4 linked regions of the Drosophila melanogaster genome follow. Changing the gene in region 1 together with any one later gene gives a genetic interaction. Each region holds a gene or a part of one and is shown on either strand. Other genes may lie near its edges. The genes, in order: sty, htl, vap and mop.

What was found.
Region 2: of sty (region 1) and htl, changing one suppresses a phenotype caused by changing the other (phenotypic suppression), as found in Drosophila melanogaster (one study listed by BioGRID).
Region 3: of sty (region 1) and vap, changing one enhances a phenotype caused by changing the other (phenotypic enhancement), as found in Drosophila melanogaster (one study listed by BioGRID).
Region 4: of sty (region 1) and mop, changing one suppresses a phenotype caused by changing the other (phenotypic suppression), as found in Drosophila melanogaster (one study listed by BioGRID).

The regions. Positions count from the first base shown.
Region 1 is NT_037436.4:3,421,927-3,426,656, reverse strand, and holds the start of sty (sprouty), read left to right. Parts: upstream 1-1,721; 5' UTR 1,722-2,232; intron 2,233-4,730. UniProt on the Drosophila melanogaster protein: Inhibitor of tracheal branching that restricts branch budding by antagonizing the BNL-FGF pathway (BNL: branchless, an fgf inducer of branching).
Region 2 is NT_033777.3:18,049,979-18,055,009, forward strand, and holds the start of htl (heartless), read right to left. Parts: upstream 3,007-5,031; 5' UTR 2,524-3,006; intron 1-2,523. UniProt on the Drosophila melanogaster protein: May be required for patterning of muscle precursor cells. May be essential for generation of mesodermal and endodermal layers, invaginations of various types of cells and CNS formation.
Region 3 is NC_004354.4:15,999,784-16,007,426, reverse strand, and holds vap (vacuolar peduncle), read left to right. Parts: upstream 1-1,614; 5' UTR 1,615-2,442; intron 2,443-2,982; exon of another isoform or gene 2,983-3,099; intron 3,100-3,340; 5' UTR 3,341-3,501; coding exon 3,502-3,712; intron 3,713-3,784; coding exon 3,785-3,898; intron 3,899-3,977; coding exon 3,978-4,050; intron 4,051-4,131; coding exon 4,132-4,541; intron 4,542-4,714; coding exon 4,715-5,564; intron 5,565-5,636; coding exon 5,637-6,543; intron 6,544-6,608; coding exon 6,609-6,759; intron 6,760-6,841; coding exon 6,842-6,990; 3' UTR 6,991-7,476; downstream 7,477-7,643. Other genes in the region: CG12698 (uncharacterized protein), read right to left, coding at 1-136, 187-320, 372-483, 607-750, 818-922, 1,000-1,200.
Region 4 is NT_037436.4:14,770,093-14,778,055, reverse strand, and holds the start of mop (myopic), read left to right. Parts: upstream 1-1,926; 5' UTR 1,927-2,060; coding exon 2,061-2,144; intron 2,145-2,548; coding exon 2,549-3,298; intron 3,299-3,364; coding exon 3,365-6,307; intron 6,308-6,373; coding exon 6,374-7,366; intron 7,367-7,430; coding exon 7,431-7,559; intron 7,560-7,619; coding exon 7,620-7,801; intron 7,802-7,856; coding exon 7,857-7,963. Other genes in the region: bmm (brummer), read left to right, coding at 15-123, 290-378, 449-717, 1,071-1,255.

The sequences.
Region 1 (4,730 bases):
ATTATCGGACGGAAGTGGTATTGGGAACGGATCTGCTTAGAGAAAAACAGCGACCACGCCAATCGCTGATTTCCAAATAAATATTTTGCACGTGCGTCTCGCTGCCACTTGTGCTGTGAGTGTGATTTTTATTTTTATTCTTTTGGCTGTCTGAAATTGCCCTCGAGTTCATGTTTAGACATTCACCTCGAGGCCAATGTGTTACCTCTGCCACTGCGGCGATTATCTAGGACACTTGTGACGTCAGGCGGGAAAACTGTTGGACTGGGGTGGCGTATTCATTGCGGATTGAATGCACGAAAAGCCATCAGAGCCAAACACCCAGACATCAACTTGGCCAACTTTCATACGGATTTCTCATTGAGCATTTTCGTTCAATGAAATTTCATTTATTTTTATTCTGTCCGTTCGCATTCACACTCATTTATTCGAATTTGTTTGCCCAAAAATGTTTCGGCCAATATACATACGTATATATAATTGAATGGCAGACCACTTTTTGTTGTCGAGTTTGATCTGATCGAATGATTCACATTTCGGTTGGCATTTCAATTTAGGGTCCAAACAATGGCAGATGTCCAGTTGTCCAACTCCGCAGCAAAGCAAATGAAATTCTTTCGGGGATACCCTTATCTTAAAAGGTTATTTTGTTTCTTTATGTTCTTGGGAAGTATTTAAAATATATTATTATTTAATGCTATTCAAAAAGTATCTTACTCAACTTACTCATCCTAAAATAACATTTTCCTAGCGCTCAAGAAAGTAATCCACATTCGTTTTTGAATCCAATTTAGCTCACTCAGCTTTCTTGTTAGACTTTAGCTTTTTATTGTTCTTTATTCTGATGTTCCTTATACATATACAATATATACGTATACAAATATATATGTAGAGTTATTGTGATGCGTACCGCCCATATGTGGAGCTCGGCGAAGTGGCTGCTTTCCGCCAAATTTGGTGCCGCATTCGACCGGATGTCGTTGGAAATAATATTGAAATCTTTATTATTTTCACTGATTAATTTATGGGGCAGTAAACGAAATGAGCTTTGAGTGTGCTGTTCGATTTTAATTTGGGAGCGGTGCACAGGGTGCTGGCTAATTTTCAAATAAGCCCGCCTTAAGGAGGCAGGGCAACCCTGGCCGAACAGCTGATGGACAACGGATGACCTTGGGGGTAATTGCAACAACCCCCAAGTGGAAATTCACTGCCATGGCCAATGTCGAGGCGACGCCTACCGAAGGTCGTTGCCAAGGCAACTGAGTGGGCCAGAGCCCAGCTCATTGGGCCAGGAAATGCAGGCGTGTGTGAGTGGGCGCCCATTGAAAGTGGCGATGCATTCAAAATGGCCGTCAAACGGACGACCTTGAAAGCCGAGTGCTCATTGGCCGGGCCACCGAGGCCAGGATGTTGGGTGGCGGGTGGCTGGTGGGTTGGTAGGCAATTGGAGGGGGCTGGATGGCCATGCAAATGGAGGGAACTGGGAGCCAGGAGCTGGGAACAGGAGCAACCAGCAGCCAGGAGCCAGGATTAGTCCTGCAGCAATAGCCGAAATCGGAAAACAATACGAATGTCGCACGAAGCCCACGCAATGTCGTTTCGTGTTTCGGATTTTGGGACCTTCGGCCCAACGAATGGGTATTCCCCTCCAGGACGAGATCCTATCGGCAATCTTCGGGTGAGGCTGCAGCTCCGATGCAAAAGTCGTGCAACATTGGCTCAGTCACTGGACGATAGTCAGGCTGCATTCAACGTGCAATCTCCGAGAACTTGTGCTTGCAAAATTATTTACCAAATATATATACCCGATATATATACAGTTGTATGTTCAAAGACACAACGCAATTAGCGATTAATAGATGCGCACACGGCGTATGCGTAATTTAAGTGAATCCAAGTAAAAGTGCGCGTGTTTTTAAATAATTAACAATTTTAAATAGTAAACTATCCCATTGAAAAAAAAAACATAATCATACATAGCGTAAGCCTCTTTAACTTTATTACAAATTAATCGTGCTATTAATCAATTAACCAAGGCATCTCGTTGAGTACAGTTGCCACCAGAAAAACAAAACAACTCAATCAACCCCAAAAACCAGAACGAACAAAGGCGAGCTGTACCGAGCCAAAAAAAATCTCTAATCAAATTATCCGCATTATCTGCAATCGAGTCGACCAAGCCGAGGAAAACTTTCAACCAGAACCCATCCATCAAGCAACTTCCCTTCACCGGTGAGTAGCTTCATTGTCCCTTGTCCATCTCTATCAATATATGAACCTTCGCAGTCGAAGAACACTTAAATGTCTCAAGTCATTCATATTGTCAATTGGAACTTTGGATCTTGACTTTTTGTTCTTCTCTTGAGAGCTAAAAGTCACCCAAAGGTTAAGTGACCAGTGCTCATCAGTTGGAAAGGCATTAAAAGTCATTTATATGCCAGTGATTTTTATGCAAGAGATCTTATCGAAGATTTGTCAAGGATATTATAAATGTATTATAAAATGTTCATCCATTTGAATCTTAAATATCTGAGTAAATACGCGGTTGTATAGTTTGTAGAAATTGGGAATTAAATTTCTGGAAAAGTTGAAAAGTCTATCCTAGCCAATATTTTAAAAAAACAAGATCAACTCGATAAAAATAAATTCGTGACATTGTTTCTTTTAGTCAAACAATGATGAACAATTTCCCTACAATATCTTTGAGCTTTGAGTAATGGAATAACATTTAATCGATAGTATGATAGGTCTTAATTTTATAAATTTGTCATCTGTACCCTTTTTCCCTACCTAAAAATCAAATCTTATGCCTGAGCCTTAGAGCTTAGGCATTCTGGAATGCCATAAATCATTTTCACTGCCCCAAATGGGGGGAAAGGCGGAATCGGCGAGGATGAGTGGGGCGAAGTGGCTGGAAGAAGGCTCTTAAGTTAATTTAGTACTTTGTTCGCTGTGCCAGATCATTAAAATTATTTGGCGACTTTGAAAAATTCGAAACAGTAGCCCACAAATACCGACAGCTGAACGAATCTCGAAATGAAATTGGTTTGGCTGATGAGGATGGAGATCGTGTTTTCGTTCGCCGGCTACCCGCTGCGTTTGTCTGCAGATGTCTCATAAACATGAAGACCAACCAGTCCCTACCCTCCGAATATATATCTTTTTTCGAAATTTGTATAATCTGTATGCGAATCATAATGACGCGAAATCAAGATCGGACTGAAGGCTGAAAGCTGAGACACACTTTGGCCTTTTATGCCAGCTCACATGGAGGCTGAGGCTCAGCAAGAATTTTAAAAACTTAACCCATTTTGCAAACATAATGTAGTTTTACATTTGAATATATAAATGGGGATATTATGTATAATTAAATTCTGATATAAATGTAGGCAATAATCATTGTTTAAATCATAGCAAAGAATTGCAAATTGGAAAGTCCTTTAATGATTAAAGAAGTCATAAGAAGTACATTTAAATGCAAGGTCTTGGTCTGTTTCTATATGACTTTGGGTAAAACCAAAGCATCTGGGAGTTTTCCTAAAACCCCTAGGATACCCAGAGGGTTAAGGTTTCGCTGAATCTGTACCGTTCAATTAGCTCTGTCTTTGGGACTGGCGTTGACCAAGACTAATGCGCACATTTCATGCTGATCGTCGCAGGAATTCCAATTCCCTGCGAGTGAGTTCTCCTGGGTTTCTTATTTTAATTTTTTTTTTTTTTTTTGGCTCTGGGTTGGGCTGGCCCTGTCGGAGGAGACCTTTTCTTTGGGTCGGTCGCGTAACATAATTGCGTGAATAACTGCGTTAATTTCCCAAAAGACTTGACAGCGGATGTGGCTACTGGTCTGCGCCGTTGACTCCTCCAGCCTCCCAAATCCTCAGTCCTTCACCTTCTGCTTTGCATTGGCATTCCACGGACTATGCCATCGATATCGATCCGATTCGAACCGATCCTCTGGGCCCTGTGCCTCTCGCATTTTTGGACCCGGGTGTGCCAATGTTTTTTTTTTATCTTATTTATATTAAGTTTTTTTTTTGCCATAAATGGCTTCCGCCGGAGTGTCCAGTTTTTGGCTCACGCTGCATACGCATATACATGTGGAGCTCCATTTAAGGTGGTTCCGGGGGCTGGGGCTCCTCCAATATAATTATGAATAGGCAGGCCATGTGGGCATGGGCAACTCCCCCGCCTTCGTGGCCCCAACTACTCAAATCCAAAATATGAGCTATGCGTTCCAATTTCAGTTGTGGGCTTTTCTCGGATCTTAACTCGGCCCCTCTTTTCTTTCGCATTTTGCACCGGTAGAAATAATAGATTTAGTAGAATTATTGCTTGATTAGAAAAAATATTAATTAATTATCTATTTATAATATAGTTTCTAATTACACACTGCACCAATCCAATTGTTTTTTGTAGACACAAAAAATATTTTTTCACATTATATTTATGTGTTTCACAATTTTTTGAACCTTAGGTTAATATTTTATATTTTCTAAACAAAATACAAAGTATTTTCATGTTAATTTGGTAAAAGTATTTTTCTTAATGCCTTTATACCATTTTTTCACTTTATCGATCGCAACGGAAGCGAGTTGGCGTTGCCATCGTCATTTTGCGTTTGTCACAAATTTGTTTAGCTAAAATATTGATAGAGAGAAGACATAAAAAATAAACACAATTTTTTAGATAGTTTTTCATGTGGGGGTTCCGACGGAATTCGGAATTCGGTT
Region 2 (5,031 bases), on another chromosome or scaffold:
CTTTAGCGTCCCGCATCTTTTCGCTTTCAACGGCAGCCTTAATTTTCCACACATGCCAGCCCCGTCTGGCTTTGTATCTCAGTATCGGCGGTATCTCTCAGTTTGCACTGGGTATTACTCTCATCTTTAATTAAAACAGACACAGTTTCTCTCCGCGTTCTGGGTCTGATCTTTCCAGTCCGCATTCAACATTCAGCCCACATCTGGCGGACAAAAAAAAATTAAAGAAATTAAAAGCAACAAAAATAACGGCCGGCGGAGAAGACTACTGTGTTCAGTTGTCTCTGTTCTCCCGCCCCCGTCGCCACGCCCACAGTCAGAGTCAGAGCAGAGACAAGGGCAAATATTGTTTCGGCTTGCATTTGTTGCTCTATTGTTGACTGCAACATGTGGGCACATCATCAGCATCGAACATACACGAATGTACATATACGTATGTCTACCTAAGATCGTGCCACATGTGTTGCACAGACATTGTCGTCGATTCTCGAGGGGAAGTAGCGACTCCAGCGTCTAAATGATGGGGTTATCCGAAATGTTGACTTCCAGGAAGGCATCCGCCAAATCGGAAACTGCCAAAAATTGTATATATGTTTGGTATTCTATCTCCACCCTCCGACCTTCACCTCCATCGATAATGAGCGCGCAATTTTAGTATATGTATGTATTTCCTGTGCCGTCCAAAATCGCCCGATTTATAAACAAACACGTTCCGGAAAGTATTTGCAAAGTATACAAACATTGCACGGTATATGTACATTTCCCATCGAATTGAAATCGCCGGTCACTTGGCGCATCCATTTCAATCGCACGGGTTGACCCGCAATTGACGCACTTGGCGGTTGCCCCGCTGCCGCTCAGTGTATCCGATACCAAGTCGAGACCGGCACGAGTCTGTTATTTCGCACGGTTCGTCGGCAGGTTCCACCAGCCATCAGCCACCCAATGCCAATCCCATCCAGCCATCCATCCATCCATCCATCCCCACCCGTTCATCTAGTATATACCATTCAGTACGTGACGGCGAGAAGGTTGCATCCCATGGGGTAAACGAAAAGAAGCAGATGGAGCGAAAGGTCGATTGTGGCAAGTCGACTTTATCAAAAACGCGAAGCTACGTTAAATTATCACAAAGTATATGAGTAGTGAACTATTGATTCGATTTACATTTCAGAAATATAAAGCACGCAGCGATTTATATAAAGAACGTTCAACAGATTTAGTTGAAATAAATATGTGCTATTCTTAAATTGTTGCAAGCTTTACTTATATATTTGTAAATTTGCCATTTAGAGCTTTAAAATTTTATTAGTACTCACAAACATTTAGACAACAAAATCCATTATAAAAGTGCTGTAGCATTGATAAGCTTAAGCTATAATATATTATAATACCAAAAAATAACATTATTACTTTATTGTTGACATAAATCTATTTCTAAATCGAAATCTTTATTTGGTAAACACTGATTTTATGATAAACTCTCATGAAAACATTTAATATTATATAGCAAGCATATATTCTCGTGACATTTGTACTTTAACATCATAAAGATCAAAGGATCATACCGAAAGTCTGCGTGGATCCCACCTGAGATGATATGGGAACAATACCGGGAACTGGCCGCACAATTAGCTAAACAAACCTAACCTTAATTATCATTCATAAATAAATTGCAGAGAAGGGAGGCGAAAAGTAAGAAGCGTCTTCGGTTGTCGGCCAGCAAATTGAGTGATTGCCAAAGGCAACAAAACAGAAGCCGAATCACCTAGAAGATGGCATCGTAAAGCTAACCGACCGACAAAACAGATACCCGATAAATATATATATATACATATATATACACACAGATAGCTATATCTTTAGCTATATACTCACTCAGATATAGAGCAAGTCGGACAAAGAGCAGACAAGTTGAAATGTTTGTTTACGCGGCTAGAAAATATTGCATGTTCCTATACCGTCTACATTCTAGAATCTAGACTCTAGATGATACGATATATGCTATATGCTGTTGGTTAATAAACAAAATCCCATTCTAAGGGAGCGTTGGAATATAACAGAATTATGAGTTTGAAATATTTTCCCGAGCTCTGGGGCATCGGTTGGCTTGTAAAAGCAAATAAATAAATATAAATTAGAATGGGAACCCTGTGGAAAAGTGCTTTCAATTTGAGCATGTACCATAGCAGAACCGAATGGAATAAATAAAAAATAAAAAAAACAGATACTATGGGGAGCCCACAACTGTCCATATTCACTGTATTATTATGGGGTAGCCAGAGAATAGATAATTGAACGATTGACTACACACACACACAGCGGGATAAACGACACAAATTGCTTTGGAACCGAACCACTGCACATTTTACACTTTTTGGCCTTTGGGTTAAAAAGTCAAATTGCTGTGCGCGGTCAATCAAAAAGTGGATCAAACAAATGATTTGCGCAACTACGCAAAAAAAACCAAAAACAAAATAAACTAAATTAAACGATGCACGGTGTGTATTTTTAAAGACTTACCTCACAAAGTGCGTTGCTCCACGAACAAAAAAAAAAAAATGCCAAAAAGCTTCTTGCCAAATATCCACCAAAGTGTCTCTGCGTTGGAATTTCTCCTTGCCTTCGTCTAAATTGTAAGTCTTTCACTAAAAACACAATTGGGAAAGTTCACAGAATTCGAGAATGTTTCCACTTAAAATTCCAGAAATGTTTTAGTACGCATTTATATGGCACTTAGGCACTTAAACAGAACCAGAAACCGTTGCACACTTGACTCTGTTTTGTTTCTTTCCATCCACAAAATGTGTGCGTTTTCACCAAGAGGCATTACTAATAATTATTAGTATAATTATATTATATGGCGTTATTACGCGTTCAATCGATCGATCGTTCGCTCTAATTTTCGACGATTTTTCACCGATTTTCCAACGATTTTCCAACCGATTTTCCAACGATTTTCCTCCGATTTCGCCTACTGTAACGGCACGCAGTCCGATCGCAACTGAGTCAAAAAAAAGCAAGCGAACCGAACAGAACCGAGCCAGCTCTGCGAAATAAATCTCTTCAATTAAATGAGGGAACAAATGAAACGAATTCACATTTCCCCCATCAACTTCAACATGCTGGAGAACACATCTCTGCAATGTATTTTTGCGGCAGGCGCGTAAACAAATACAGAAAACACACAAAATTGAACGGAACGCCAGCCACACATTGTATAATCCGCAGCCAAAGAGAGGAAGGGTCGAAAAAGCGAGGGGTTGGGTATGCGGTATATGTATGTATGGTACTATATGGTATAGGGGCCCCTATACCCTATATATGGGGGACCCACACACACACACACACAAGTGTGTAGCTGAGTGGCGGCCTTCCCTTGGAAAGTGAAATGTAATTGAGTGCACAGACCGCACTCGTTCTAAAATTCGTTCAATTGAGTCGAATGGAATATCTCAAAGATATTCTAACGCACAATATGTTGCATAGTTTCGAGCGCAGCGAGGAAATTCATGAATTTCATTATGAGGGTGCAAAGAAGATGGGTAGTTGTCAAAAAGATTCCTTATATTCAGATCAATTATTTATGTAGTTATAATTGGTTTGATGGATCATGCTTTATTAAAAAGAATAGCTAACTTATCTTAGTCAGAATAGATCAGTCACTTGAATTTAATTATTATTATTTTTTAAAAAGATTTATGGCCTATGAGGGCCTAAGATTCTACTGACAAATTCTTTGCGCATTTCTTTGCGCTTCGTTTGAGGCGGAAAATGCGGAATGAGATTCATTAGCCAACACAATAGCTCGCTAAGTAAGTTAGCAGTTATTAATTATGAGCTACTTATAGCCAATGTCAAATGGCCAACAGACACATAAGAACCAGTAGCCAAGTGGCGATGGAAGAAAGCCCCTCTAATGAATGACACTCGTGGTGAAAAGGCCATCAAAGCACACACGCTGTGCGCCAAAGACAATGGCATCGTTTAGCGTTTGTCTCTATGGAGACACCAAAAATAACGAAAAGGGTTAGCCAAACAATGGACAATGACGCAGGGGGGATTTTGGCCGAAAATCGAAAACAATTAACGATTATTGACCATCAATTGTGGCCGACGGGACCCGTTCAGTGCCAAATGGCGTTACGCCTGACTGATTAATTGATGCTCCACGGCGGAATTGGGAGGGAGGATCCCCATGAGTGGTTAGCATAGTTTCAACAGTTAACAACCTCGTAAAGCCGCAGAGAGACCGGGGAAAGCACGGGTTAAAGACGGCCACCGATCAGTGTGTATGGTCATAATACTTAAATTTTATGCACTCCTGGGCAAGCCTCCTGGCTCCAACCTGGCTCCAAACCGGGCTCCTCTTGGCTACCCAAAAGTGCTTCTCCTCGAGGCTGCCGATCGCAGCTTCAGCTTCCGTATGGCTTTTCAATTTGGCCAGAACGAAACGCAAGTTGTTAGCGTTTCGAGCATAGAAATAAATATTGGGAAATTGGCTCAAAGTCTGGTTGGTCGAGCCTTTGGCCATTTGGCTCTGGGAATCTGCGAATGGGAAATGAAAAATCGGGAACGGTAACAGGCTTTTGGAGACACGATCTTCGAGTTGGGCGACACGATCTGCAGCCATCTCGCAGATCGCAGCTCGTCGAGATCTCGTGCAGAGCAGCCAAACAGCATAAAGTTAATTGCTAATATGATTAATTGCACATTAACATGAATTTTTATAGCCAATTATATGCGAAATATGCCAATGAGAAACGCTTTCGACCAGCGGATTAAACAACCAAAAAATAAGTTAACTGCTAGACTTATTCAGTTGCAATAGATAAACAGATGGGCTATTGAAGCTGTCAATGAAAATAAGGAAGAGCAATATATTAACTTTTGCTAGGTGACTTGGGAAATCAATTAAATTTTGGGATTAGTAGATTAAGATTAAGAAATTGAGTTGAATGTATTTATTGTATCATATGGGCTCAAATAAGTTAGGCCTGCAAAACATTGATTCATCATTGCCTAGAACCA
Region 3 (7,643 bases), on another chromosome or scaffold:
TGTGAAGGCATTGTAGCACCACGCATTCCCCGCTAAGGACAAAATAGACATAGCTCATGGTACCCAAGTCTTCGGTGTAGATCGTCTCCAAGGGCTCGAATTGCTGAATTGTTCCATACTTACTGGCATTTACAATCTTACAAACAAGTTATATTATAATTTCTTTTTATCTACTATTATACTTACCTGTTCTTCGTTGAGAAAGTCAAAATAGTCAAGGGCCCGCAGAGCATCCTTCTTTTCCTGCCACATCTTTTGCATAAACGGTAGAAGAACAATTTTATAGTTCGTATTGAATATAGCCAGGAGTTCGCAATAAGCTGAAAGAATCAAATGCGATTAGGTGTCAAGAAACAAACGAATCGATTTACTTGTGGCGATATAAGTGTTGGTTCTGGGTGTATCTTCCATCACGTCAATATCACCAATGCAATCCCCGGGTCCAAAAATGGCCTCCGTTTGTACGGTAGGACGACTGGAGCCCTAAGAAATATACCATTTTTCAAATAAAAAAGCATATATATTTAATAAGGCATAATTGAAAAATTGTAGCTATAACTATGCAAAGCATATTAGAAAGTATTATATATAATTTGAATAGTTTACCTTTTTATATATGTTCTTAGACATTTCCACCTCACCGGCGATTATAAAATAAATGGTTACGGGAAAATCCTCCTCCTTCATAACAATACGCCCGGGAGATATTGCCATGAATTTGACAATCGGAACAAGACGGGCGCGGACTTTCTAAAAGGGGTAACAGGTCGGATAAGTAATATTATACATATGTACAAATGATCAGCGCGCTACTCACTGGCGGAAATTTTGAAAAGCAAGCCAGATTTGCCACAATGGTGCAGAGCTTTTTCCTCTCATCGACGGAACGCTTAGCATGTGGAGTGCGCAGCAGCGATTTCTCCTGCAATTAAGCAAACACAAAAAGGAATAAACTCTTGAGCTAGCCTTGATATGAAAGAAGAGGTTCGTTGGACTTACGGCCATGGTCATCATGCCCACTTTGCGCTTCTGTCGCAGCATGGCAACGTTCTTCTTCACATTCAGCGATATTCCACCCTCCTCGGGCAGCTCACTTAGCCACTGCATATTCAGTATCACGGATCGGATGAGCTTCTTAAACCGAATCTTGGCTATTTTCTTTCCAGCGCCATCGTGAACATCGCGTTGGCGCTTGGACATGATTATGCCTTCTAAATCCCACTGATGTCGAACTGTTCAGTTCAGAGTATTGTGTCCATATAATAGTATTCGAATGACAAAGATTCGGGCTGCCGCCTGCTGTCTAAATAAGCTTGAAAATATGAAAATATATAAACTTAATTTTACCCCATTTCAGATTTTGACGGCTAACGGTTTTCGTGCGCACAAAAAACATGTGTTATTTTCAAAGTGTTTAAATCATCTTTTGTAATTTCAACACATATTAGCTTTTCATTTAAGAAATGTACATTCAAATGCTGAATAAATATTATTTGCGTTTGTTTTTTCTTTAAAATATTATATCTTAAATTGGCTTATCGTTTATAATCGATTTCTTATTCGAGCTGTACTCTCTGGCGCTATCTTGACGCACATACATTCGTCCGATAAGTTGGGTGTGTGGTATATTTCGATGATTCACTACGTTCACACTGCGCACAATTGAATTCTGTGGCTATCGGTACGGAAGAAATTTTAGTTCGTTTTAAATATGCAATTGTTATGAATAACACAAGTTGAGCAAATAAAAGACGGCAATTCCCAGCAGCGCGATTTGTTTTTTTAGCTCGGTGCTGCAGTGCAATGTAAAGTATATAGAGGAAAATATTTACACATGCGCATTAACCGATTAATGTTCTGTGTAAATGGTTTTATTTTTTTTTTTTTTGTATTTTTTGTTACCCATATGAGAGAGAATTAAATGGTTGTGCTAATGATTCATTTACAAAGGAATCACAAACCGAACACAGCCCAGAAATTGTGAATCAAATGGGCAGTAATTACCCCGCTTGAGAGGAGTATGATAAAGACGGCGACGGTGATGACGATGTTGATGATGATGAGATGGTGTTGATGATGATGATGATATGATGACTCTTCGGGTCGTGTATGTATGAAGAAAAGAACCGAATGAATTTTTTTGTGTTCGGCTCGTTTGGCAAAAAGGGCTTAGCCTAAAGTTTGTGTGTGGTGTGCGGCTCATATAAATCGCTTGTGTTTTAGATAGATGTTGATGTACAAGAGGGTGCAGCATATTCCTATATATATACCAATGTACATAAAGTATATATACGGTGTTACAATTCATAAGTAACTTGTACTTTCATACAACTCGAAATATCCTAAAAATGTCTGCGCATATGTAAGAAAGTCAGTCGCCCGGCGATTTCAAAGAGCAATATGTACATATGTACAGTGGCTCACAGCTTAATTCGTCCAGAGGTAAATGTTTATTTAATAATTCGATGAAAAACCGTTTAAAATATCAAAGAAATGGAATAGACAATTTTCCTTATCCATACACATTGAAAACGTATAGAATCAATATACAGATTCTAAGATGAAAATCTTTATAGAAGAAACAACTTAAAGATCTTAAAGTTGTATGGTTTTTTGTTGTCTAAGCTGTGGGTTCACTACACTCCTATATTACTGACTGAAACAATCACAATTGATTTGTTATCTGTAAAAGTAAACAAAGCGCAAACAGCTGATGGATGTGCTGTCCATCTTATCTTTCATTTAGTTTACTGCGAAGTCTACGTCGTTAATTGCTTTTAAATATGGTTTTGGATATAAAGTAGCATTGTCTCTATATTCTAATTAATAAACCCGGTTTCTGGTGCTGGTTGTAATCGGTTGTAATAGCGCCTATTAGTAAATTTCTTGTTTTACCAATAGGCTTAGGTTTAATCGTATTTAGTGTAGGTGTGATGTATTCTTGCCCCACAATTTTGCATACGTTGTTAAATTATTTGTTAGATCCTCAACTTTCGTAACATTGGACCCGAATTTTGTTTTGGACACTTATAGCGAATCTATTCCAATTTGTTTTTGTGAGATTACCACCACCGATATGGCAAAGAAAATGATTTCACGGTAAGCCCCGAATTCCGAATTATTTTCCATTATCTATATTTAATAGCATTAGAAAGCGGAAACTAGAACTAACAAATCTCTCGGGGCGTTTTTAGTGAATGGTTTTAGACATATCTTGGTTTAGTTAAGCATTTGATTCTATTAGTGACTCTCTAATCTGATTTCTGATTTTTATCAAATATGATTTTCGTATTGTAATCAAAGTAAGGCAGCTAAGTGTTTTTATCTGGTCTTCTTACAGTTTAGCACGGAAAACCCCACACAGTCACAAAAGTTAACGTATCTCCTCAGTTAAACGCATTCTTATCATTGCTATATGTGGCTTTTATTAAATCGAATTCCACTCGAAGTTAAATATAGACTAAGACTCGCATTTGCTGAACAGAGATCATAAGCCTAACAATGGCGGACCTAATACATTTGGGAAACATTGATGTTGTCATCCAGAAAGATAAGCCCGGATCGCCAACGGGCTGTTCGGATGATGGGAATCTTGCGGGGCTGGGTGGCATGACCGGATTGGGTGGCATAATGGCACCTGGCGGCATCGACTTGGGTGACTTGGCTCAGGAATTGGATCACGATGAATTCGATGGACCACATATGCTGAATGGTAAGTAAAGTTACATGCCCATACATTGTAGTTCGATCGATAACTAATTTTCCTTGCAAACTCCAAACGCAGGTGAACGTCCAGCGATTATTGCTCCTCCGGAAAGCGAATGGTACCATGGACGACTCGATCGCTACTCTGCAGAGTCTCGCCTACGCGGAAGCAGTAAACTGGGCAGCTATTTAGGTGTGTATAAGATGGTATTCGAAGGTGAGAAAGTATTACTAAATAAATACCTTTGTGTTCTTTTTTTAATGCTGAGCAGTTCGCGAAAGTGACCGCAAACCTGGCTCCTATGTTCTGAGTTATTATGGCCGCACCGGCATAAATCATTTTCGGTAAGTAATAGGTTAAGATACCCATTAAATGCCATTGTTTTGAATGATTTTTTATATATGTATGTTGTATCGTTAACATAGGATTACAGCTGTGTGCGGAGACTTCTATATCGGAGGACGACAATTCATTTCCTTAAGCGACTTGGTTGGTTACTATACCTCATGTAGTGATCTACTGAAACGCGAACGCTTGGCCATACCAGTTGCTCCGCCGGAGCCAGTTAATGATAAGAAACGCGTCGTAGCCATCCTGCCTTACACAAAAATGCCAGAGACCGATGAACTGAGTTTCCAGAAAGGTGATATCTTTTTTGTACACAATGACATGGGCGATGGCTGGTTGTGGGTGACTGCCCATCGTACGGGCGAGCAGGGAATGATATTCAGAGAACTTGTTGACGATCTGGATGTATCTATCGATCCAAATACGGTGTTTCCCTGGTTCCATCCCAACTGCACCAAAAACGAAGCCGTCGATATGTTGGTTAAAGGTGTGTATTATTAGTTTAAGGTACCTACAAGTAAGGAAAGCAAGCTTTCCCGAGATTCACGAGATGAATCCTTAGAATTTTGAGCTTCTTCTAGTGACGCCTACAATCGATATTTTCGACTTTTCTCTGTTGCTATATGTATGTAATTGAAACACATTTTTTCATCCTAACAGCTGGACCAGGAAGTTTCCTCGTTCGCCCAAGTGACAACTCACCGGGGGATTACTCTCTATTCTTTCATATAAACAATCAAATCCAACGCTTTCGTATTGAAAAGAAAGGCGTGCGCTATTTAATGGGCGGTCGTACATTCGAATGCTTGGATGCGGTTATAAATCGATATCGCAAAGAGCAAATTGTGGAGGGCCACTCACTGAACCATCCAGTTGTCAATGGCATTCAGCCCGAGTTCAATCAGCAATATGTTGTGGAAAAGGCCGCTGAAAAGATCTACGCAACATTGCGCGAGTGTCGTGACCAAATCGGTCTCAAAAAGATCAAGGGAATCAAACATCACGGCCATTTGAACAAGAAGTCGGACAAAACGACGAAATGGAAGCAACTCTATTTCGCTTTAATCAACGATGGTTCCGAGACGCAACTATGCTTCTACGACAATCCGAAGAAGACCAAACCGAAGGGTCTGATCGATTTGTCCTGTGCTTACCTCTATCAATGTCACGATTCGCTGTGGGAGCGTCCCTATTGCTTCCAAATTGTCGAAAGGGCCCTGCCATGCTTGGCCACAGTGACGTATCTGTGTGCTCCTAGTCAGGAAAGCTACGTGGAGTGGATTAATTCGCTCAAGGCACAATGCGATTCCCAGCTGAGTCGTGCCCAGAAGAAGGTATCACGCCTTCGTGAGCTTCGTTGTCTTAATCTGCATGTGCTGGAAGCTCATCGATTACCATTTAAACTAGTGCCACATCCATACTGCAGTATTTCCCTCAATCAAGTCAAAGTGGGCAAAACTCGTGTCAAAATTGCACCCGAACCCGTTTGGGAAGAGGAGTTTGTGCTAGAGTAAGTCTACCATTCCTTCGCCTATTTGATAACTTATCGAATAATATATGTTTGTAACTTGCTTGCTTGCAGCGATGTTCCGCCAGATGTTGTCTCCCTAACCATAACATTAATATCGCGCGGCAAACGCGGTAAGGACTCCGAAGTGGCTGAGCTAACCATTGACTTGTCTAGTCTAAAGAATGGCCAGGAAACCGAGGGCTGGTACCAACTCACTGGCATGACGCCGATGGGTGAATGGGGCTCGCTACGATTGCGTATGCGCTACCTCGACGATCTGATAATGCCGTGTGAAGAGTACAGTCCTCTGCAGCAATTGCTCCTCGAATCGGAGCTGTATGCTGTGAAGGCGCTGGCTGAATTGTGCCATAATGATCGGGTTCCTTTGGCCACGGCTCTGTTGCGAGTCTTTAGGCAGGAGAAACGGGAAACGGAACTAATTCGAATGCTGTGCCAAGCGGAGGTGACGCGCGAAAACGAAACCACAACGCTTTTCCGTGGCGCATCCTTGGCCACCACCCTAATGGATCTATATATGCGCACCGAATGCAGCGGCTTCCTGCAATCGGCCGTCAGCGAAACCGTGCAGCGCATTTTGGAGAGCAAGCAGTCGGCTGAATTGAATCCCACGAAAATGGACGTCAACGATGATGCCTGTACGAATGCCGAGTTTCTATTGCAAATCCTCGATCTGGTCACCCAGTCGATATTCACTTCACCGGACGCCTGTCCACGCAACGTGCGTTTCATTTGCAGCTGTCTTCAGAAGGCTGTGATGGCCAAATGGCCGACAGAGCGGCTCGTTCGCACACGCGTCGTCTCTGGCTTTATATTCTTGCGCCTTCTGTGCCCAGCGCTGCTCAATCCACGCCAATTTGGATTGGTCAGCGAGACGCCACCGATGGCAGCAACACGATCTTTGGTCATGGTCGCCAAGTGTCTGCAGAATCTGGCCAACTTGATTGAATTCGGCGGCAAGGTGCGTATCGATTCGACTCAGTTATGTGATTACCAAAATAAATTCGATTTCTTTTTCATTTTTAGGAACAATACATGGAGGTTGTCAATCCGTTTATCTTGAAGAACAAGGAGCGTATGATTGTTTTCTTGGATCAACTGTCCTCGGTGAACGATCCGAACCAACCGCTTGGAATGTTTGTCGAACAAAGTACAAATCTGAATTCACAAGACACTGGTAATTATTTGTCAGCTCATGTTTTCTATTTGGCGCTGTTATATTATTAAATATACAATGATTTCTTTTATAATTCCTGCAGGACGCGAGCTGGCTACCTTGCATCACATCTGCGTATCTCATTCGCAAGAACTGCACGAGCTATCCAACATACTTTCAATTAAGAAGCTGGTCACAGTGACGGACATGCTGACCAAACACAAGCTGAAGTATCGCGAGATGATCAGCTAAAATCAATTGCGAGGAGAGCGGATAATAAAAAAAAGCGATGTCTTCTTATCTACAAGTCCCTTCATACCTTTTTATAAAAATATTTATATGTGTATACTATTAGAATACATAAAATAAGAACTCAAAATAACTGGTTGAATTGTATTGGAATAGTAAACAGCATCTCATTTATAAAATTATTTATATGGAAATGAAATAATATTTAACAGACCGGTATGCATTTATTTATTATTATTATTACAAATTAAAAATAACCTATAATACACTAGCTTACACGGATTACTCCGTATAGCCGCAAACTCAGATATTCAAAATGGTTTTGCTTTCGATATTGTTTAAAATTTATTAGTGCATTACCAACGTCAAATGGCAGTTGGCGTCCAAATGCACGGCATTTATCCAAAAGTCAATACATTTTTTTTTGAAATAACGCATAAAATCGAAATAAATTAAAGAATTCAAAAAGAGTGCAAAAGACTTCCTCTGAAAACATACACTGTGTTTTTGAATGGCTCCCTTTCGGTTTCTTGCAGCTGAAAAATGTTTTTTTTTCGAATTTCTTCGCACTTAAAGGCGTTGCAATGGGCATGGAAAAGTCAATAGTCAGCTGAATTTAATATAAATACATATATTCTTCAAAGGAAACAACAGTT
Region 4 (7,963 bases), about 11 Mb from region 1:
TGATCTATATTTAGAATATCAGCACTGACGCCCAAACTTACCAAGCAGGCCAGAGTAATGGTGGAGGACTTAATTTTGCAGTTGAACCACGCCATGCGGATACGACTGCTAAATAAATTCACGGTAAGTTAATTAGGTACCTGTCTTGTGATCATTTGCTTAAGTAATCAATTGAAGTGCATTAAGGCTGTCGCTCACATTTTCATAAATTTGTTTTATTTAGAATTGACGGCTGGCAATGAATTTGAATATGAAATGAATTATACTAACGAATGTGTTTTTATTGCAGCTCTATGACCAGCCTCACTTCGATGCCACAGGACTTCTTCATTCCAGCCGCTTATATGGACCCCGTGTTTCAATCCTTGTGGATGAATGGTAAGTTAAGCAGTAGGATTAATCCTCCAAGGAAGCGTTTAACTAATCGTGCCGTTCTTTTGGTTTTCAGTGGAGCCACACCGCTAGAGGACGATGTCGACAACTTTGAGCATGTCCTCAAGATGACCACGCACAACGACGCTCTATATGCCTATTACTATACTGACAGCAACACGAACAAGGTGAAAGTAACCGAGATCTTTGACTTTGACGAAATAACGGAGCACGACAAGCTGGCCACCGATCTGCAGATCTACGAAGGCTCTGTCGAAGATCACCCCAATCCCCACCAGCACAGCCACAATACGGTGGTCAGCGAATGGAATGGCGTCGAATCAGGTTGGTATTTGTGAAACGACCGCACTTTCAATTCAAAAATCACATCATTACGTAGAGAAATCGTATCATTTGAATCAACACCAAACATTTTTTGCAGTACAAGTAATGCCCACGACTCCTGAACTACACGACGTAGCCTTTTAAAGCACTTACAAACTAAACGACTATAAATGCACCTCCATAACCCTTCACCCACTCAAGCATTAAGTCCAAATTTTAAATCGTTGGCGCAGGTAAATGATCTAAATTTGCAATCACTCCCCCGTATATTCCCATAACAAAATTTCATTTTATATAGTTCGCTCTTATGAATGGTTAAACTAAACTCTGTCTTACTTTCTCATGCTCCACAGACTTCTTCATCGATGCGCATACACCAAATGTGGAGGATAGTAAAACATCAGCGCCACAATTCTCCCGCCTGGACCTGGAGACCGAGTCGGATGCTAGTGTGCTAAGTGATCCCGAGGTTGATCAGACTTTTAGCTCCACGGCCTCCACGCACAGCAGCGACATGTATATAGAAATTGAGGGGTAATTAGTAATGGGGAGGGGGCAATCCTCTTAGGAACTGTATCGAAACATCTCCAAAGCGGCTCGTAGCAAAGCGAAAAGCCTAGTAGCGTTTCCATTAGTCTAAATTAGTCTTAGTACGACCAACGTATGTACCTAACTTAACTTAGCCGTATGCTGCCATTGTATCATCGTCAGTTTGTAAGCGGCAATTAGCTAATAATTGCATTCTTGTTATTAGTCACCCTCACACGACTTGTATTACATCCAAATCCCCATCTGTGTTTAGCCTAAGTTGATAATGTATAAACAATAAAAAAAATAAACAACAAATATTTACAGAATGTCTGGTTGCGCATTTACTATTAATAAAATAACTAATTGTGATTAATGGGGAATTCAAGGAAGGAAAAAAAAAAACAAACAAAAATATGGTGCGCTTCGTCACTATGTAAACTGTCGTTCACAGTGATATATATGCAGTGCACTTCTTTCATCCATCTATAACAATTTATATAAATTGTTAGACATTCGCATTCGTAATATCAAATTTTTTAAATTTCATTTTCTTTATAAAATTTAATCGGCATAAAAATTTAATACTTCTGGAAAAGAATACCGTTCTAAAAAGTATCGATGCCAATGAATGGAATACCCCCTACGCACCTGCCATTTTTAGTGCATATTTCCAGAAAGCTGAAACGGCCACACTGCAACATTTTTCATAAAACAATCTTGTTTTGATATTGGTAAATTAATTGCCAGCAATTAGTTTAAATTGTGTGTAAAATAAAAGGCCAACTGGGCAGGCAACAAGTAAACTAATCACCATGGAGGCGGTGCCCCGTTTGCATATGCTCTGGTTCGCCCTAAAATCGAGTCCCGAGGGAACCTCCTTTGCGGCTTTGAAAAAGGTAAAAGGAAGAGAGTGCGAAAGGGGGAGTGAAATAATTAAGAGAGCCAGCAAAACAAAGAGGAGACAACTTGGTGAAACGGAATTATCGGTCAAATTGGGAAAATGCGTTGCTTATTGGATTCATATTGGAATCGAAATTCCCATTCTCACCATGCCATTTGCTCCATTGCATTTTCCGTTTTCACCAACTTTTAAGCCCCCTTTGTCTGGCGGCTGAGTCATCGTCGTCATCTGATTAAATTGGCAAACAAATAAAAAGTTATAAGCAAACACTGGCAGTTTGTTGGGTTATTGCACTTAATTCCCCATGAAAACCCATTTACCCTAAAATATATTCTTGTTTTCCTACACTAAACTCCATAACAAAAATCCAACTTAAAACATTTCACGTTTTACTTCCAGTACATCGCGGAATTTTATCATGAAGATCCAGAGGCTTACTCCAAAGAGGTCCATGCCCTGGAGACTTTGCGCAACCAGGCCATGCACACCACGAAAGATGGAGCGCCGGTGATGAAACGCTACTATTGCCAGCTACACGCCCTTCAGAATCGATTTCCACAGCTGGCGGATCGCGGAATCTTCACCTTTAAATGGAAGGATCTCTATCACAGTGCCGTTCACGAGGTCACTGATCTGCGATTCGAACGGGCTGCGGTGCTGTTCAACATTGCCGCATTGCACACTCAGTCCGGAGCGTCGGTGACCCGTGGCGATGTGGATGGAATGAAGATGGCCTGCACTCACTTCCAGGCGGCTGCTTGGGCCTATGGAGAGCTGAGAGAACGCTATGCCAATGTCAATGGCGGAGGGGATTTTATGACCCCAGAGCTGCTGGTCTTTCAGCAACAGGTGTGCTTTGCCCAAGCTCAGGAATGCATACTCGAGAAGTCGCTAATCGACAATAGGAAACCGCATATTGTGGCCAAAGTGACGGCGCAGATTGTGGTTTACTATGGAGCTGCACTGGCTGCTCTTCTTACGGGAGGAGATGATGGTCCAGTGGCTCAAGTCATCGATAGTTCTGTGTACAAACTGTGGAAGAAGTACGTTCGCTTCAAGATCAACTATCTCACCTGCATATTGTACCTATACCAGGGCCAACATTCCGAGGAGAAGCGTCAGATGGGCGAAAGGGTGACGCTCTACCAGGTAACTATAACATTTTGAGCTCTATTTAAAGGAAAGGTTTAAATGCTTACTTTATATTCCTTTCAGGCTTCCTGGGACAAACTGGAGGAGGCGCGCAAAGAGTCCAAGGGCCTTCCTGACCAGCGGGAAATCAATGAATCCCTCAGCTTCACCGCTGATGTGGTGGAAGCAAAGCGCAAAAATGCCAAAAACGAAAATGAGTTCATTTACCATGAGGCGGTGCCCGAATTGTCCACCATTGCAGCCGTCCAAGGTGCCAATTTGGTCAATGGGATTGGCTTTCAAGTAAGCGACGAGGAGCACGCGGGTCCAGACATCTTTGCCAGATTAGTGCCCATGAAGGCCCACGAAGCCAGCTCGTTGTACAGCGAAGAGAAAGCCAAACTTTTGCGTAAGTACGGAGCTCTGCTGGAGGAGAAGGACACCCAACTGGAGTCGTACATGAGCTCCCTCACCCTGGATAATCTGAATATCAACGAGGAGCAAGCCAATAAGTTGCCCCAGGGCATCGTGGATCGCTGTGCCGCCTTAAATGCAAACAAGACTGCTATCAGCGATCTTGTAGAGGCCATGTCTCAGCTGGCTGAGATTACAGCCGATGTGGAGACCAACCTGGGCGAGATTTCAAGCATGCTGGAGGCAGAAGCCAAAGCGGAGCGAGAGTTCCAATCCGCCACCGGCGTTCAACGAACACCAAATGCCCACATTACCGAGTTATCGCGAGAGTTCCAGAAATACAGTGAAGCCCATGCACGGGCAGGGGAATCCAATAATACCTTGCGGAAAGCCATGAGCCTGCACGTAAATAATCTAAAGATCCTGGCCAGACCATTGCCTGAGATTCAGCAACTGATGCCCAAACTAAGTTCGGAACTGAATACCACCGAAATTTTCAGGGATGTGAAGCTCATCCTCAACAAAGTCAACGAAATGAAGGCGCAACGTGCTCAGTTTCATGCGGATTTGAGGATAGCCATCAATGAGGATGATATCACTGGCAAAGTAATTGCCCACGGTGGACAGGAGGGCCTCCAAGCTTTATTTGCAACCGAGCTGGGCAAGCACGACAAGATCACCGAACTTCTCGATCAGAATATGGTGGCTCAAGGTAATATTCTGCAAGCTCTAACTGAAAACTATGCCAAGGCGGCACCAGTTTTGAAAACGCTCCAGGACGTGAAGCAGAAACGGGAGCACTTTTACAGCTCGCTAGCTGCATCCTATGATGTTTATGAGGATCTGCTGGCCAAATCCGCCAAGGGCTTGGAATTCTACAAGAAACTAGCCGGAAATGTACAGAAGCTACTTACCAGATTTCGATCCGCCAGGGATGTACAGTCCGAAGAGCGCCAGCAAAGGATGCAGAGCGTTAAGGCCGCAACAACTCCAGTTGTCAGCAAACCAATAGCGGAAACTACGCCTGTGCCAGCGGTGAGCAGCACCCCCAAATTAAGGGATTACCTCAAGGCCAAGGCAGCGATGGCGGATGCCTCGAATCCCGCCTATGTGCCTACAGTGCGTCCAGTGCCGGTGGGCTCGGAGAATCCCACGCAGGCCGCTTGTTCCTATGCCACTGCACCACCGAATGAGCCACCTCCACCCTATAGTCTCACACAGCAGCAGTATTTTGATCCCAGTGCCGCCGGCTACACGAATCCCATGTATCAGCAGCAACAGCAGCACATTGCTCCACCGGCCTACAAGGCCCAAGCATCGCCAAACTCTCAGACCCTCCACGGAGCGCTCGGTCAGATGAATTTGCAGGGCCAGTCGCAGGATAACAACCAAGCAGGCATGGCTTATAATTACGGGTATCCAAGTGGGTCTGTTCCTCCTCTAGCTTACGCTCCACCCGGAACAGTGCCCGCAAGCTCAGCTTCCCAGGGATTGAATATCCAGCAGCCTCTGTATGTGGCTACATCGGGCAATCCAGTTTCGGTTTCAAATCCCAGTGAGCTGCCGTCCACCCTGCAGGCACCCTTCGTGGTCAATCCAATGTCCAATCCCTACCAAACAGCGGCAGGTTATTCAGGGCAGGCTTACCAACAGGTCAATGCTCAAGCTCAACAGGTGACTTATCCTACAGCACCATCGGGCTCTTCAACAGGACAATCAGCTCAACAGCCCTTGGGTTATGCGCCAAGTCAGGGGCCACAGCAGCAAGCTGGTGGATATCCACAATCTCAGACACCGCAGCAACAGGTGGGAGCTTATCAACAGCAGCCATTATCAGGCTATGCCCAACAGCTGACGCCTCAGCAACAAACTGGATATTCACAGTCGCAAGCACCGCAGCTCCAAGCGCCCAGCTATGCCCAAAATCAGCAATCGACTGGACAAGCACAGCAGCAACAGACTGGATATCCACAGACACCTCAACAACATCTAGCTGGGTATGCTCAGTCCCAGCAACAGGCTACAGGATATCCACAATCGCAGACATCGCAGCAGCAGACCACCGGGTATTCCCAGTCCCAGACGCCTCAACAACCACTGGCATATCAGCAGCAACCATCTGGTTATCCACAACAACAACAACAGCAGTCACTTGCTCCGCAACAGCCATCACTTTATCCATCGCAGGCTGTCCAGGCGTCGCCACAACCTATTCCTGGCCAGCAGGCAACACCTCCGAATGCTGGGCAACCTTTGCCATATCCACAGCAGTACACTGATCCCAATGCAGCTCCAGCTCCAGCTCCTGGGGTTTCTTCTGTACCAAGTCCTGTTCCAGTACCGACTCCAGCCCCCACTTCATCTCAAGCTCAGGTTCCCACATCTCCGCATCCTTCGGCCACCTACACCAGCTATTCCAACCATCCTGGCTATAGCTTTAATCCGCAGACAGGTAAATACGAGTACAGCAGTGGCTATCAGCAGGATACCAGTTCGTTGAAGGGATCCCAAGCCTCGCAAAGCTACCAGTTTAGCCAGAGTGGCAAGCAGCAGTCGGTGGGAACAACGGACTCAGAGATTGCCAGTCGCAGCAATACCGCCACTGGATTCGATGTAAGTGCTATGCCCATATATATTAAAGGTATTGAGACCTAAAATAACGAAATTTTTATCCAACAGTCACCTATCGTGTCCCACACCAAGGTTAATATGGCAGCTAAGGACTCCACTTCTGCGATAGAGGGCAATGAGTCATCCAACTACTACTCCACTCCCTATGGATACCTTGGCAGTGTAAATCCGCAGCAACAACCCACTCCTGCGCCTCCTTCGAATTCAACTGCTTCAATTTATATGCAAAGTGGAGCGAGCAGCACTGCTGAAACCCAGACGACTTCCAGCGGAGTTCCTTACGCCTCCTCCGCGGCTTTGACCAAAGTAGAACCAAAGCCGGAGGCATTGCCTCCCAAGGTTACCAGCAATGTGGATCTGCTTAGCGACCTGGACATTGACTGCTCCGTTGCTGTTCCGCCGCCAATGTTGCCGCAGCCTGTTTTGCAGCCCCAGGTGGTGGCCACTCCTACGCCGCCGGCAAGTCAGGTATCGGTGCCTGTTAAGGTAGAAAGTGTGGCAGAGCACGCTGCTCCCGCAACAGCGGAAATTCCTGTAGCAGCCACCGAGGGAACTGCTCAAACTCCAGTTACCATTCCTTCGGGTCCGAAGTGTGCCAGTTTAGATAACCTATCCAACTGTTCCGACCTAAGTTCCCTGGAGAACTTTGACTGGGACTCGGTATCCGTTACACATTCCGTCAGTGAGAAACAGACCAAGGCATCTGCCACAGCCAATGGCCATTCGAGCAGTTTTGCATTCCAATCCGAAACTTTTACGGACGAAAAAACGACAAAATATTTCCAAAAGGAGGTGGAGAGCTATGAAAAATTACTAGAGAATTTGCACGTGAAAATGTTGAATGGAAAAACACAACTGGGCGCCAAATGGCAAGAGCTGCAGCAAAAGTTGGATAAAGAAGCCGCTGCCAACAAGCGATCCACCACCATTGCGAAATTGTTCCCGGAGAAAAATCGATCCCTTGATTGTCTGCCATACGATCATGCCAGAGTAAAGCTGGACAAGCAGACCGATGACTACATCAATGCCGCCTACATGAAGGTGAGTTATTCCAGAAAATGTTTTTATAGCACACAATCTTTAAACGCCGTTGTTATTCATTTAGAACTTGAGTGCCGGCTGTCCCAACTTTATTGTCGCTCAGACTCCCCAGCCAAATACCATCAACGATTTCTGGTCCATGATCTGGTCGGAGAAGTCGCGCACTGTGGTTTGCCTGCACACCCCAAATGAAGTGAGTAACTTCAGCAAAACTATGAGATTATTGAATCTAAATATTTGATATGTTCTATAGCTTTTCGATCCCTACTGGCCGCAAGCTTTGGACCAGCCGACTCATTATGATGATTACACCGTGACCTGCTTAAAAGTGCAGCAACTTAGCCACTGCTCCGAGTATCAACTTAAATTGTCCATGCATGGAGCGGACGCAGTGCTGGATTTATCTCTACTGCAGCTGAAACAGTGGACCAAGGGGTAACATGTCCAGATTTCGTCCGATGGAAAGAAATAAATAATTGCTATTTTACAGGGCTCCAGCTCAACTTCTGGGTGTGGCGGAAAATGCTTTGGAGACCCATCGACAACGCTGCAAGGCAGCCAATGCTCCGCAATCGCCGCTCATTATGAACTGCTTAA